4 linked regions of the Neodiprion lecontei genome follow. The protein of the gene in region 1 purifies or fractionates together with the protein of each later gene. This does not show direct contact. Links are inferred from orthologs where the notes say so. Each region holds a gene or a part of one and is shown on either strand. Other genes may lie near its edges.

Region 1 (3,530 bases):
AGCGAGGGTGTAAAAATAACATGATCAGCATTATGCTCCGAGTTGTCAGTAGTTCTAATAGTAATTCGATTTTTACTGCTATAGTCAATACTTGAAACTACTTTCTTGAAGTCCACTTTTTCCAGAAGTGGTAGCTCACTTGCCGCTGGTGTAAACTTGTTCTGTAAGTCGCAAGGAAAAAAATAATTGTTGTTAGGATTTTGCAAGTACCTGAGAATACCGAATAAAATTGAGATTCTATTTTGTACTGATTCAATGATGGAAAATGTTATTGAATCTCATTCTGAAATCATTACCATTAAAACTTCAAACAGAGTTTTATATCCCCTGCCTTTCCAATTAAGCAATGGATTCCCTTCACATGTCCAATACTCGGCAAGTCCGGATGCAGAAACTTCGGACCACGAATCGCAAGATTCTATGATAGATTCATACTTGCATATCCACTCCAAAAATTCTTCTGCCCTGGTGAAATTTGTAAATGGATTTTCCTTGAATGCCTTGTAATACCTGAAAGTAGAATTTATAAGATAAACATAGGCAAGAACTTATAGACTATTTCAGTTATGTGATTTTAAAAGAGAACAAGTGAAAGAATTACCAGCACCTTACACAAAACTTGAAAAACTTGTAACGAAGAGAGAACCCTGTACTTTTTAATGAAAACTTAATCGAACATTCAACTACTCTAGAAGTTATGATACTAACTCTTGTGTGAAATATTCTCCGAATGACCCCTCGAAATCTGTTATCTTGTTTGGCATAACTGTGTAGATTTCATGATATATATTCAGTAGCTCAGTACTTTGTTCTCTAGGTATGATTTCTCCTTGAGAATCAGCAAACATCCACTTTTCAGTATTGGTCAGAAGGTTAGATCCCTCCAAAAGATTGTGGCGAGATGCCAATTCATAGGATATATTTCCACGCTCACCGTGCACATATTCAGCTCCTAGCTCTACCACGTTATCAGCTACCATAGTAAAGGAAAACATATGTATTATTAATAAAGGTCCATCAGGCCTCTTCTAGCTGTTATCACTTGATTAGTTTCATAACTGCTCTAATTCATTATAAGCTGCACTTATTGTTAGCTTGGCATGAATAGTTATTTAAATGAATATACAATGGAAAAAATTAGTCGTTAGTTGAAACACAGCCAATGTACGCACCGAATTCTACGGTATGTACGCGCCCTCCGATTCGATCTCCGGCTTCAAAAACTCTGACATTTTGAAAACCTTGCTCCAGCAGACGGCATGCCGCGGCGATACCAGCAGCGCCGGCTCCAACAATTAAAACTTGCACATCTTTAAACATTTTTCGGCAAGTAGCGTGGCCAATATCTTAAACACCACTTTATTGGAAATGGATAGACTTTGTATACTACTTTCGGAGTTTACTGGAGGTTTCCAACTACAACGGTAAAACTGATGTGTTGGCTGACTAGTTCTCTATCTGGCTAGATTGCTGTCAGGATTAATAGGGTCAAAACTTGGAATGGTGATAAAACAAACACAAGCAATAGAAAGATATCGTCGTCGCGTCATTTTTAGCACTATCAATTATATCATATAATATAGTATGTATATATCAGTGGCTTATAGTGAGCGTATAATGAGCGTATTCCGAAATTTGATTGCGCACGGGTGATATTTCGCAATGTTTCGAAACGAGTTAAGCTTGGGCGTCCGAAGTGTATCCAACATTTCAACGGGCGTATGGAATGAAAGAATAGGATATATATAATGAAATTGCTTGAGCGGTATCAGTCTCCAGATTGTGGAGATTTTGTAACCTGGTAACGCTGATACATTTTTGACTTTAACTTTCTTACATCTATTTTTTCAAAGAAAAAAAAAATGATGTAAGTAGAACGACAATAACTGTTTGCGAGAACAGGCACGAAAATCCTTTTCGGTACGTGCGTTCTGAAACATCACTAGCACGTGAGATCCAACATCCAGTTCAACATTCTACGTGTGTTAGGTAAGCTATGGTACAGTCGATGTAAGCTGAATCCAGCTTGTCATTACGGTTTGTCTAACGTACAGCTTATGTTTACTAAACAGAAGGTTAATTCTATAAGGGAAGATGATAAAACTTACAGAAGATATTGATTTGACGGGATACACGCTCATTATTCCTTCAGTAGCTGTAGGAAATGTTGGACAATTGGCTGTTGATCTTTTTATATCGAGCCTTAGCGCAAAGAGAATAGGTTATGTTTGGGATTCTGCATTCATACCTATAGTTGGCCCTGATCCGTACGACGAAAATTCGTCAGCCCTTTGCACAGCCGTTGATTTATTTTGTAGCACAGATAAAAGAGTTCTACTAATTCAAATAAGATCACCACTGTCCAAGAAGCCCTTTCTATTCTTTAAAAAGCTGCAGAACTTCATCACAGAAAAACACGTTGCCAAGGTAAGATTTTTGGTCACATTACATATTTGTAACAAATTCAATCGACGTATTTTCAATCATAGGTCATCATATTGACCAGCAGCTACTCCCATGAAAAACGAGATCAACAGATCAGAACCATTCCGTTACGTTACATTGCATCTCCGGAAATAAAATCAGAATTTGGTGCAATGTTCGACAGCCTGAACTGGACACATCTAGAAAGTAAAATTGATGAATATGGCAGGAGCGAAGTCCTTGCAATCCCAGGTGGAGGTTTTGCCAAAAACCTATATGATATCTTTGTCGAGAACCATATTCCTTGTGCGGTCTTACTCAGATTTTGTTCAGAAGGAGACAACATCCCAGATGCAATGGAGTTAGCTAACTACTTAAATCAGTGGCTAGAACTTTTCTCAAAGGACGCCTCTGGTAATTTATTAATCAGAAAACCTTCGTCTTGGAGATTCTTATTTGGCAATGATCCTCCACTCGAAATGTTCTGAATATGATATTAATTATCATGAGTTTTTTTTTTTTGTTTATATCAATGAATCATGTTCATTAAATTCTTAATAAAAAATTATTATCAGCTAAATTGTAATTGTATTTCCTGTTTATTCGCCTATGTAAAAGTGAACAACGTAGAAGCTAGGGATTAGAATTGATAAAGTAATGAATTTTATTCAGTCACAGTTTTGGTTCTCCAGGAGAATCATTGATTGATCGTTCGATATTGGATACATTGATATTTTACAAAACTATTTGAATCCAATTAACGGTTTAGTATAAATAGTGAAGCCGGAGGCAGTTAAAAATATCATTCATGACTTAAATTGTAATTACTTAGTTTACGATAACAGCTTCCATTTGGCAGAGAATGCTGTGTATGTAACAAATGCAGCTAAGAATGCAGCTAAGAGTTCAGAGTTTATCCATGGTCCAAGGTAAGCACCTGGGTTGTTGAGGACAACAACAGCTAGAGGTTTCACACTGCTCGGATCTTCTCCGTTTCTAATTGCTTTGCGAAGGGCACTGTACCCTTCTTCATCGTACAGATTAACATTGTAATCTCCTGATCTAGCTTTCTTTATATCCTCCGTCCAGCTGACCTATAGTACCAA
Region 2 (3,849 bases), on another chromosome or scaffold:
CAGGTTTTATCGAAATTATTGATTTTTTTACGTTCAAGAATATTTCAAACTAACGATGAAGATGGGCGAATTTTTCAATCAGACGAAGCAGTCATTGGAGAAAACGTTATTTTCTTGATTTTTAAAGCAATGATTGAAAACAGATAATCAGAAATCTAAATTACTGGGACAATTTCTTTACACTTCCGTACTTGATCCTTTTGCACTATCAGAGGCTAGCCAAACAATTACTTAAATTCCTAGAATTTTTTCAGGACCGTACATTTAGCGTACGGTCGAGCAACTGGATCATCGTATGTTCGTACAGGTGCATGGCAAAATTACCGTTATTAGTCCGGTAGCCCGTTGCACTTTTCGACGAATCATCTAATAATATTTCAAGGGTGTGACTTTGCCCTACAGTACTTGACACAGGGTCTGATAACCTTCCATACTTGGCTGCAAACGGCGTACAAGGTTGCCTGTACTCCTGCGTGAAAGTGTATGCGATGCTCGTTTTAGATAATCAATGAGATAACGTGATGATTCTTCGATAGTGCAATCGAGTGTCTCTCATTGAATGACATTATAGCGTTGAGAAGCCTACCTCCAAACTCGTAGAATTCCTTCCTTTTCGACAAATGGATTGACACGTAAGAGTTTACTCTTCGCAGCGAGTGGTCTCGTTTGATTGAGCTCATTAATTTCTCTCGAAAGTGTTGTTTTTTGTATCAGTCGAATAATCAATCGATGAGCTCTCTCTATATATTACAACGAATCATTGGATATTGCTTACGGTACAAAATGAATCTACAGCAAAAGGGTCCGTTTACGGTTTTGGAACTTATACTTTTAGGCATCGTCGAAAGTATTTTGAGAGCGCCGACCGGGGTACAGCAGACCTTTCTAAACCCAAAATATTCCCCATGCCTTCGGTTATAAAATTAATGGTTTTGCAAGTAATAATGAGGGTGCGGCTTCGTACAGGCTGGTTGTGTTGATTAAGCACTTCGATGACCGCGGTGATAAGGTCACTTTTGTACTTGAATTGGTGACTAACGTAATGAGTTGCGATTTCCCGTTTGGATTTTCTACCTGCTCAAGTCATAAGGACTCTGTCGCGGGCGTATATTATAGTCTTGGGCTGCATGGTTGTCGGCATTTGTAAACGGACTCCCTGCTGTGACTGCCTGAGTCCTCTTGAATTGTTTGTGCAGAAAGCTATGATGACGCTTGTTGTATTTATGGCAACTGTTTTCCGATTTACAATCGCTAGTATTGTGACCCTGAGAGAGGCAATTGTAACAAAGATTCGCGTGTGCAACAGTCCTTACGCATTCTTCTATTGATAATTTGTGGAAGGTTGAGCAAATATAGATTGCATGTGATGCAGAACAAATAGGGCACTTCAGATTTGTATTTGTCGCAAATGTCTGTACCTGCGGTTGATTTTTTGATTTAGTAAGTTGGTAAAAACAGATGGCGTATTCCTTTGCAGCCGTGGATATTCCCTGAGAATAATCCAATGACGTCGGAGCGTTCGTCGTATGCATTCAAATTTCTTCTTCTTTCGAATGGATAGCGCTACCGTTGACTGAAGAATATTCTTCAGTCGACGAATATGTCAACATTAACATTAACGTTTCTACGTACTTACATGTGTTTAAAATTTTCCGCAATTCGGTTCGTTAGAAAATGGCGGTCAAAATGGAGGCGATCGAGTGGACTCCGATACTACTGCCATCTAGCTACAAATTATGAAAGCTTGATTCAAACACAAATCTCCGTATCGTATAGTTTATGTATAATTCAGAGTTGCCTGTGAGTTTTGGGCCGGCCGTCAAACTTGATTTTCAGTGTGTTACTCTCATTTAATTGCTACACTTTTTGGTAGTTTTGAATAAGTTTGACAAAATGGTGAGCATAAAATTATTCATTTCATCAAAGTACCCGCAAACGACTATAGACTTATTTTCTAATTAATTAAATAATGTAAACTTCTGTACTCTGAACAGAAATAGGTTAGAATACCTCTATTGATGCATTGTCATCCATACAATTATCCCATCTAATTCTAATAAAAATTTCCCATAGCTCCAGATATATCCAACTCAGTATTAATTGTTACGAAAATATTCACCCTTCTAATTGAGAAAAGGCTACTAGGCGAAAATAAACCGTGGCAACAATGCGACTAATTGACGCATCGTCATGCCGACTGTAATCCAAAACTCAGAACGTACAAACTTAATTCATTCTTAACAATTTCTTGATTTTCTGATCAGGCTCGCCGGTATGATACCAGGACAACTATATTCTCGCCAGAGGGTCGGCTATACCAGGTGGAATATGCAATGGAAGCTATAAGTCACGCTGGTACTTGTTTAGGAATTCTGGCCAATGACGGAATCTTACTAGCCGCAGAAAGAAGGAACACCAACAAGCTGTTGGATGAAGTATTTTTCTCAGAAAAAATCTATAAACTAAATGAGGATATGGTTTGCTCCGTTGCTGGAGTTACGTCTGATGCAAACGTTCTCACTAACGAGCTCCGCTTAATCGGTCAAAGATATCTTCTTCAATACGGTGAAGCCATTCCTTGTGAGCAACTGGTTTCTTGGCTTTGTGATGTCAAACAAGCTTACACTCAGTACGGAGGTAAAAGACCGTTCGGAGTTTCCATACTCTACATGGGCTGGGATCGGCATTACGGATATCAGCTCTACCAGTCAGATCCTAGTGGCAATTACAGCGGGTGGAAAGCTACCTGTATTGGTAACAATTCGGCAGCAGCTGTATCTTCTCTTAAACAGGAATATCAGGAGGGAGAAACTACTCTGAAAGATGCGATGGCTCTTGCGATTAAAGTTCTCTCAAAAACTCTAGATATGACTAAACTCTCCTCTGACAAAGGTCAGTTGAAGATTCTTAATTGTCCAATTTTCCAAACTTGTATCTAAATAGTATATTTAACGATGTTACCTAATTTTTTATAAAGAATAAGTACCTATTTGGATCGGTGGAGGGAGCAAAAACTGCTCATTCTCCATTATTGTATCATTGTTGTAGTTGAGATGGCAACTCTAACTCGCGAAGATGGAAAAACAAAGACCCGTATTCTACCAGCATCTGAAGTGGAGGCATTGATTGCTGAACACGATCGACTAGAAGCAATTGCTGAACAGGCAAAGAAGGAAAAGCAAAAACTGTAAAATATCAACAAACTATCGAATTTTTATTACTTATTAATTCATAATGAATAATGATTATTTGCTTAAGTGAACATGAGCATCTGGCGTAAGTGATAAATAGCTTACATTTCGAATAAAAATGAATTACAAAAAGCATTCCTTTTCTCTTATAATTGTACACGTTGCTACACGTCGTGCTTATAACAGTCGTTCATTCATTCTTCGTAACGTCTTTTGAGAATAACAAGGTAATTCAGCATCTTTTTGAGAATCTATCTAGCGATGTAACATTCGTCCTATTTAACAGGAATGGGGACTGATCCTATCAAAAGATAGTGTCAAAACTTTTTAATGTTATGTGGTGGTTGCATCCCCTAAACCTTTGATTCAGACTAAATATCCGGCATACAGACTCACATTTATACTGGTATGAAACAATCATATCTCTTACCATTAACACTGAAATTTCTCACGTACTGAGCTATCACGACCTTCTCTATTCCGGAAAAGTTGTCCCGAAATCACAATAAAGTCTTGTCTTTTCAAGTTAAGTTTAAAGCTTCATGTCAAGTCGTGTACTTCTAGTTAATTAAACTATATTTGAGTTGTGTTCTCAGGCCCCAGTTAAATAAAAAAACCAGTAACTAAAATAAAACTTTCTTTTCTCTAAAAAATGTAA
Region 3 (2,613 bases), on another chromosome or scaffold:
GAGCAGAAAAAAATTGTTAGAGAGTTAATATTTTAATTGATATTAAATAATTATTCAATGTGCGATTTCCCCTAGGATTAGAGCACTTCCGGTGTGCGCATTGTGTGTGCGCACTGTATATGCACAACATGTCTGCGCAGTGCATCTGAAATCAGCTGTAGCGACCGAGATTGACGAAGAAATACGAGTTTCGAGGATGCGGATTATCGTAAATCGAACGGGTACGAGATGGACATGGAGACGAAGCTGAGCAATTTTCTCTCAATGACACCAATGGTAAGAGAAAAATTGAATGAAACTATTGGAAAAAGACACGAGCGTCGAAAACGGGAAACTTGGCGAAATCTTTTTAACGCAGTGCAACAGAAAGTGAAATCTTTTATAGAACGCCAAAATTAATATTTACTTGCAGATAAGGAATAATGCACTCATAATTGGGAGAAACGTGGAATGTCGATGGGCTTATAATATATGTCAGCGATGTTCCTGTTCGTCTATCCCAAGATTTTTGTGTTCTCAGATCTTTCAAATCTTGGACCGTGCTCGAAACGTTATTTTTTTTAGTTCTCACCATATCACGTATCGTTTCCCTGTGTTTATAACCCCTGAATTCCCACAAGCTTCAATATTTGTTCACAACTCGACGATGTTTGGCAAGATCATTGAAAAAACGTCGGATAAATTTATTACACGACTTTATTCCAAAAGTTCTTTCGCTCTTTGAACATTATTGCTCTCGTTGGAATGTTGCTCAATTTTTTGAAGGATTAATTGATTTTGTTACTGGAGAAGACACGATGAAACAGAAACGCCAGTTTCTTCGGCGCAGAACACTCACGACCAGCCTCCAGCTGATTTTAGATACACTGCGCACGTACACCGCGCATATCCATGGCGCAGGCCGGAAGCACTCGGAAACTAGGGGAAATCATGGGGAAATCAATCACTCAATAATTATGGAATATCAATTAAAATATTAACTCTCTAACAGTTTTTTTCCACTCTCAAATCCTCTCAAACGATTCTCAAAAGATTAAAAAAAAATTAAACGTCTAAGTCCATTTTTTGAGGAGATAGAAAATATGGGGGCCCACTTCACACCCAAAATTAAAATCAATTTTCCGGAAAAACTACTAACTCTCAAACGATTTTTCTTTACTCTCAAACCCTCTCAAACGATTCTCAAACGAATTGCATTAATTAGATTTAAAAATAATAACTTCGGGGGGCCAACTTCACGGAGGTAAATGGAAGCATCCATTGTCATACGAAACTTTTGGCGCATCCTCATTAATTTTTTTGCCCACGCGTGTCTTTACTTGTCTAATCTAGGGACCTTGCACCGTGAGAGAAACCTATAGCGCCATAGTTGGCGGAGCGCGAAACAAACTCAATCTCAATAAACATAACATAACCCATGACCGTCGAATCTAACCTTATAGACTTGTGACGTGTCATTGTTGTTGACAAGTCCTTCGTTAACTTGGCATATAACGTTCCAGTACATTTTCCGAACGTTCCGAAATGCTCTACATGCGCTAGCACACGTTTCGAAATAGGTTCTTTATTTTTTAGTTTGTCTCATCGTGCCCTCTGGGTTAATTTTCTGTAAAAAAGCAGTTTCTGTACTTCGAAATATTACATTTTTTCACGGATGGATAGGACAATGGCCGAACCGAAAAACATTGACCCTGAATTAGTGACGTGTAGTTTTAAATGCCACAATATCTTGACTATAGTTGGTGACATCAAAATAAGCTGTCAGATGATAAAAATGAAAGACAGCTACTATATTTGGGTTGGTGATATTGTCGACAGCGTAATGAACGACCTTTCCCTAGCTTTGATCTCTGATTACGAGAAGGTACCAATTTCCACAAAGCTGATGGGATCTGCTATTGATTCGACATCCATCAACATGGCTGCAAGACTGGCAACGAAACTGGGGAAACCAGTTTATATTAGCTTCAACATCAAGGCTGACAAGTTGTCGATACCAGCAATAGAAAAGAAACTTTCACAGGAAATAAGCAATAGCCTTGCCCTTCTTGAGAAATAAAGCAACTGATCAATATCTTCCAGTACTAATTCTCAAATTCTATCATGCCACTACTTGGGTAAATCAAGTGGTTATATGGTATCTGATAAAAATCCATGATACAATAAAGACTTTCGGAAGTGAAATGTTGAACAATAATTCTCATTTAGTTTGGAAATCGACCATCTTCTAATAACATGTTTACCGTTCCTAAAATATCATTCATACTTATTCTTGGTTTGTCTGAAATAATTCTATTATAACAAGTTTGGTAGTCATCTCAATTGATTTGCAATCGTGTCTCAATTTGCAATCAGTGATGTATGTGAAAATTGATAAAAGTTGTAATGAATCCTAGAAATAAAATACATACACCTTCGTTTGTATTTAAAATTTCGTTTGGTTATATAAGCTCAATTTCAAGCATATTTCGTCGTTTTCTGATTATCTTTTAACATGTAAACCAAAGTGTTGCTTAAACAGTGAATACCATATATATATTTTTCACTTGTGCGTTGTTTTTTAATCAGCTTACTTTAACTCACTTATTTTAAACTTTCTCAGGCCTGGCAGAT
Region 4 (3,537 bases), about 25 Mb from region 1:
TTCTATCTACCGGCCTGTAAATCAGGGTATCTTTGATATATGGCTGAAAAACGACGAAGCTGTGATAGAAAATCCCAGTTTGTTTCAGGATTGCTTTGTGAGTATTTCTCTGAGAGGACTCTCCCTCCCTGTCTGTTATTTGAATCTAATGAATAATAATATTTAAGAGAACCGAACATAAAGTACGCTCGGTGCGGTGAAGCCTTGTACTAAATGACTCTCTGCCAATTGCTAGCCCACTTCTTACTAGTGAGTACGGCACTCGGGCAGTGAACCGTGCATAGACAAACCACGGCACCGCAAGTGACAGTTTTATCTAAAATTGGATTCTTCCGAACTTCTTGCTGCAAGTCGATACTCATTGTCAGTATACGATTCTTCATTCCTCATCTTATCGCATTTTCCTGCAACGTTCTAATTCTATATTTATACTGCGCATTCTATCATTACGAAATAATTGTCATGCAAAAACGCAAGAGGCGACCATTTACAAATTGCCGAATGTTATTGGTATACTCATGTATCAGGTATGCCAAGAGATTATCTTGAAAGTTCACAGTTGGTCACGAACTCTCTGTTCGCACCACTCAAGTTTTCAGTTTGTTTATCGCAGGCTGGCCATCCCATCTTTAATTTCAAACTGTGAAAAGCCGTAAAATGATTGCATCGATGACGACGACGATTACATTGTCATTTTATTTACGGGGAATTCCCTGTCAAAACAAAAATGTCGACGATTATGTTTCCGTTTTATTTACGAGGCATTTCCTGTCAAAATATAATCGTCGTCGTCGTCGATGCAATCATTTTACGGCCTTTCACAGTTTGAAATTAAAGATGGGATGGCCAGCCTGCGAGAAACAAACGACGAATTTGAGTAGTGCCGAGTCGGCGGTGAGCAACTGCGAACTTTCAGGATAATCTCTTGGTGTGAAAAATATAGTAAGTTTTGAATCGATTTAGAACTTTTGACATCTGTTAATGGTGATCTGAATTATGTAATTCGATCAATCAATTTTCGAACATAATATGAAAAATGAACCGATCATTAGATTTGAAAAAATATGCAGCACATATTCAGTTCTCACGCTTATGTGATTAGTATTCTATATCCTGCGTATCTGCAGTTATTAAAATTAAAATGCGTGAATAAATGTTCTGTTCTATTTTTCTTCCAGTGAAACTCGTATGCCTCTTCAACGTCAGGTCTGAAAAGATGCACGTACGAAAGCTGCGTCTAATGAATGGAACGACCTATAGAAGGTAAAAAAAATTCTAAAGTTATTTTCTGGTCATTTAAGGTGCAGTACATTTGTATGTGAATTTTTTGTCCAGAGCTGCGATTAATTCACGCGAATCAATCGCGCCTTTAGCGCGTCAATTTTGCGAACGTCACACGAAAATCGTATTTATAGTCAGAAATATAAATCTCGAATAGTAGCAATTCATTATGTGGCAAATGTAATTTGCATTGTCAGCTAAGTTCGTGATTGTAAATAAAGGTTAGTTGTTGACAATGGTTTTTACTTACCACCACGAATCTCGGCAAATGAGTTTCAAAAGTTTGTTGCCAGAGGGCGTTTTCACGCCTCAACTCAGCTAACTTCACACCATTACCGCTCATTTCGCGATCAGTGCTCGTGTATAGCGTGTTATATTTCACCGCGGCTCTTCGTCAAGTCACGAGCGAACGAAATATTATTAAATAAGCAACCCCAGAAGCTGTTTGAAAAGTAATTCAATATGGTAAGACTAACTCCATCATTTTATTATATATTTGCGATACTTTAATATTTTTCTCCACGTGATTATTCGGCCAGTTCGTCGAATTTCTCGAACGTGACATTTGCAATATTTTTATTAAGGTTATGTTTACCCTCGTATTAATGACAAGTGCATCTTTTCTACATCGATGAATAAGTACTGAAGCTTTGTTTAATACGCTGTGATCCTATGTGAATATATCGTTAATAAGAAATCTAGCCGCCTGTTTCATTTCACGATTCGCATTTTTCTGTCATTTAAAACGTCCATAGTTACGAATTAGGTTAGGCGAAATTATCCTTCAACAGCAAATCAACAAATTTCTGCTCACACTTTTCCGCTCAGAGTTTTGGTCTACCTTCCGTGAAACCCAAGCCCTCGGCTGCAGATATAATCAGCATCCCCGACGACACGCATGGTGTTCCAAATGCACTTGTTTCAGGGTAAGTCACAATCAAGTATAAAGATATTTGTCATTGTTCCATTGGTTGATTTTCATCAGTATTCGCTTTTCGCCGTATAACAACTTTCTCAAAAAGAAGGAGAATAGTTGAATGAAATTTAATTGCACAGGCTATCTTCAACAAGAGCAAATCTTGGATTTTCACATCCTCTGCAAGCCTCCGAGCAAAACGTAAGTCGTAGTCAGACTGACTATTGCTTCTTTATACTAAGGCATTTACAGTTTTCACATCTTTTTATTCTGATCTCCAGTATGTGCAGAATAAATTGCGCATGGATATGGTTATGCTGAGAAACACGCAAGGACTTCACGCGCCAATGCGTCTAGCCATGGAGCTCAAAGCCGCTGACAAAGTTGGGAGACTACCGTTTCTTCCATCTTCTGGCCTCATGCGGGATGTTATTCTTGGTAGAGACGAAGAAATTGGGTAAGAGCTCTGATGACTGTGGATCACGGACCAAAAACAACGCAGCTTTGGATCTGAATGGAATTTTATCTTGCGTCAAACAAGTGACGACATTAATTTTACAATTCACAGATTCGAAGACATCTTCAACAACGCTGAATTTAGGGAACAAATGTGTCAGCCTCACGCGATGGTTGAAAAGAGTTTGGGAATTCTCTAAACATCGATTGGATCCTTATTTTTAAGCTTGTAATATCATAATTTGCACTCTGTTATTGTGCTCAATGGCAAAGGCAATTAATGAATACTTTTTTCAATATCTGTGCATTTCTTTTTATTTGATATTTACGAATGAATCCTCGTTTGCATGATTAAAAAATTTCGTCAAATTGTCGAACAGTGGCTTACGCAGATACTTAAGAATAAATATCAATTAATCACGTTACATGTATGTAAGATTTTTAATCCGCATATTATCTCCGAGCAGAAAAAGTAAAAATTGTCCATGTGTATGAGACAAGTGAACAAATTACTTTAACAAATTTATCGAGCATCCGACCAGACGACGTCTAGCAGGCGAATCCTGCATATCTTTTTGACTTCTTGAATCCCGACCTCAAGTTCCGTCTCGGGAGAATTGTTCAAACGATTTTCTATGCCGCTCAGAATCGCTGCCACTTTATTTTCCCGGGCACATATGACAAATGGAAAGTGAAATTTTTCCTTGTACCTGAAATTTCAAACAACGTATCGACCTTTTTTTTCCCTCGTGTAGCAACTGAACAAGATATTTTAAAATTGGCGTTTTTACTCACATGGCATTGAGATTCGCTAACGTTTGTTTTTCTTCTCGCGTCATCTCGTCGAGTCCTGCACACTTTTGTTCGTTCTGTGATTCGGTGGT

Evidence for each region.
Region 2: the proteins of proteasome assembly chaperone 2 (region 1) and proteasome subunit alpha type-4 purify together in Homo sapiens (affinity purification with mass spectrometry; 4 studies listed by BioGRID and IntAct, with this or other methods). This does not show direct contact. The link is inferred for Neodiprion lecontei from reciprocal best matches to the Homo sapiens genes PSMG2 and PSMA4.
Region 3: the proteins of proteasome assembly chaperone 2 (region 1) and proteasome assembly chaperone 4 purify together in Homo sapiens (affinity purification with mass spectrometry; 3 studies listed by BioGRID and IntAct, counting the BioPlex papers as one, with this or other methods). This does not show direct contact. The link is inferred for Neodiprion lecontei from reciprocal best matches to the Homo sapiens genes PSMG2 and PSMG4.
Region 4: the proteins of proteasome assembly chaperone 2 (region 1) and proteasome maturation protein purify together in Homo sapiens (co-immunoprecipitation; 6 studies listed by BioGRID and IntAct, counting the BioPlex papers as one, with this or other methods). This does not show direct contact. The link is inferred for Neodiprion lecontei from reciprocal best matches to the Homo sapiens genes PSMG2 and POMP.

Annotation. Positions count from the first base shown.
Region 1 is NC_060265.1:30,903,027-30,906,556, forward strand, and holds proteasome assembly chaperone 2, read left to right. Parts: upstream 1-1,909; 5' UTR 1,910-2,094; coding exon 2,095-2,427; intron 2,428-2,489; coding exon 2,490-2,912; 3' UTR 2,913-3,010; downstream 3,011-3,530. Other genes in the region: spermine oxidase, read right to left, coding at 1-161, 297-510, 709-973, 1,161-1,320; translocon-associated protein subunit delta, read right to left, coding at 3,258-3,518. UniProt on the Homo sapiens protein: Chaperone protein which promotes assembly of the 20S proteasome as part of a heterodimer with PSMG1.
Region 2 is NC_060264.1:7,960,634-7,964,482, forward strand, and holds proteasome subunit alpha type-4, read left to right. Parts: upstream 1-1,762; 5' UTR 1,763-1,893; coding exon 1,894-1,896; intron 1,897-2,264; coding exon 2,265-2,892; intron 2,893-3,048; coding exon 3,049-3,191; 3' UTR 3,192-3,326; downstream 3,327-3,849. Other genes in the region: endoplasmic reticulum metallopeptidase 1, read right to left, coding at 3,837-3,849. UniProt on the Homo sapiens protein: Component of the 20S core proteasome complex involved in the proteolytic degradation of most intracellular proteins. This complex plays numerous essential roles within the cell by associating with different regulatory particles.
Region 3 is NC_060260.1:21,227,674-21,230,286, reverse strand, and holds proteasome assembly chaperone 4, read left to right. Parts: upstream 1-1,666; coding exon 1,667-2,059; downstream 2,060-2,613. UniProt on the Homo sapiens protein: Chaperone protein which promotes assembly of the 20S proteasome.
Region 4 is NC_060265.1:6,326,095-6,329,631, forward strand, and holds proteasome maturation protein, read left to right. Parts: upstream 1-1,588; 5' UTR 1,589-1,743; coding exon 1,744-1,746; intron 1,747-2,109; coding exon 2,110-2,207; intron 2,208-2,337; coding exon 2,338-2,398; intron 2,399-2,478; coding exon 2,479-2,654; intron 2,655-2,765; coding exon 2,766-2,853; 3' UTR 2,854-2,952; downstream 2,953-3,537. Other genes in the region: 2-oxo-4-hydroxy-4-carboxy-5-ureidoimidazoline decarboxylase, read right to left, coding at 3,177-3,363, 3,449-3,537. UniProt on the Homo sapiens protein: Molecular chaperone essential for the assembly of standard proteasomes and immunoproteasomes. Degraded after completion of proteasome maturation. Mediates the association of 20S preproteasome with the endoplasmic reticulum.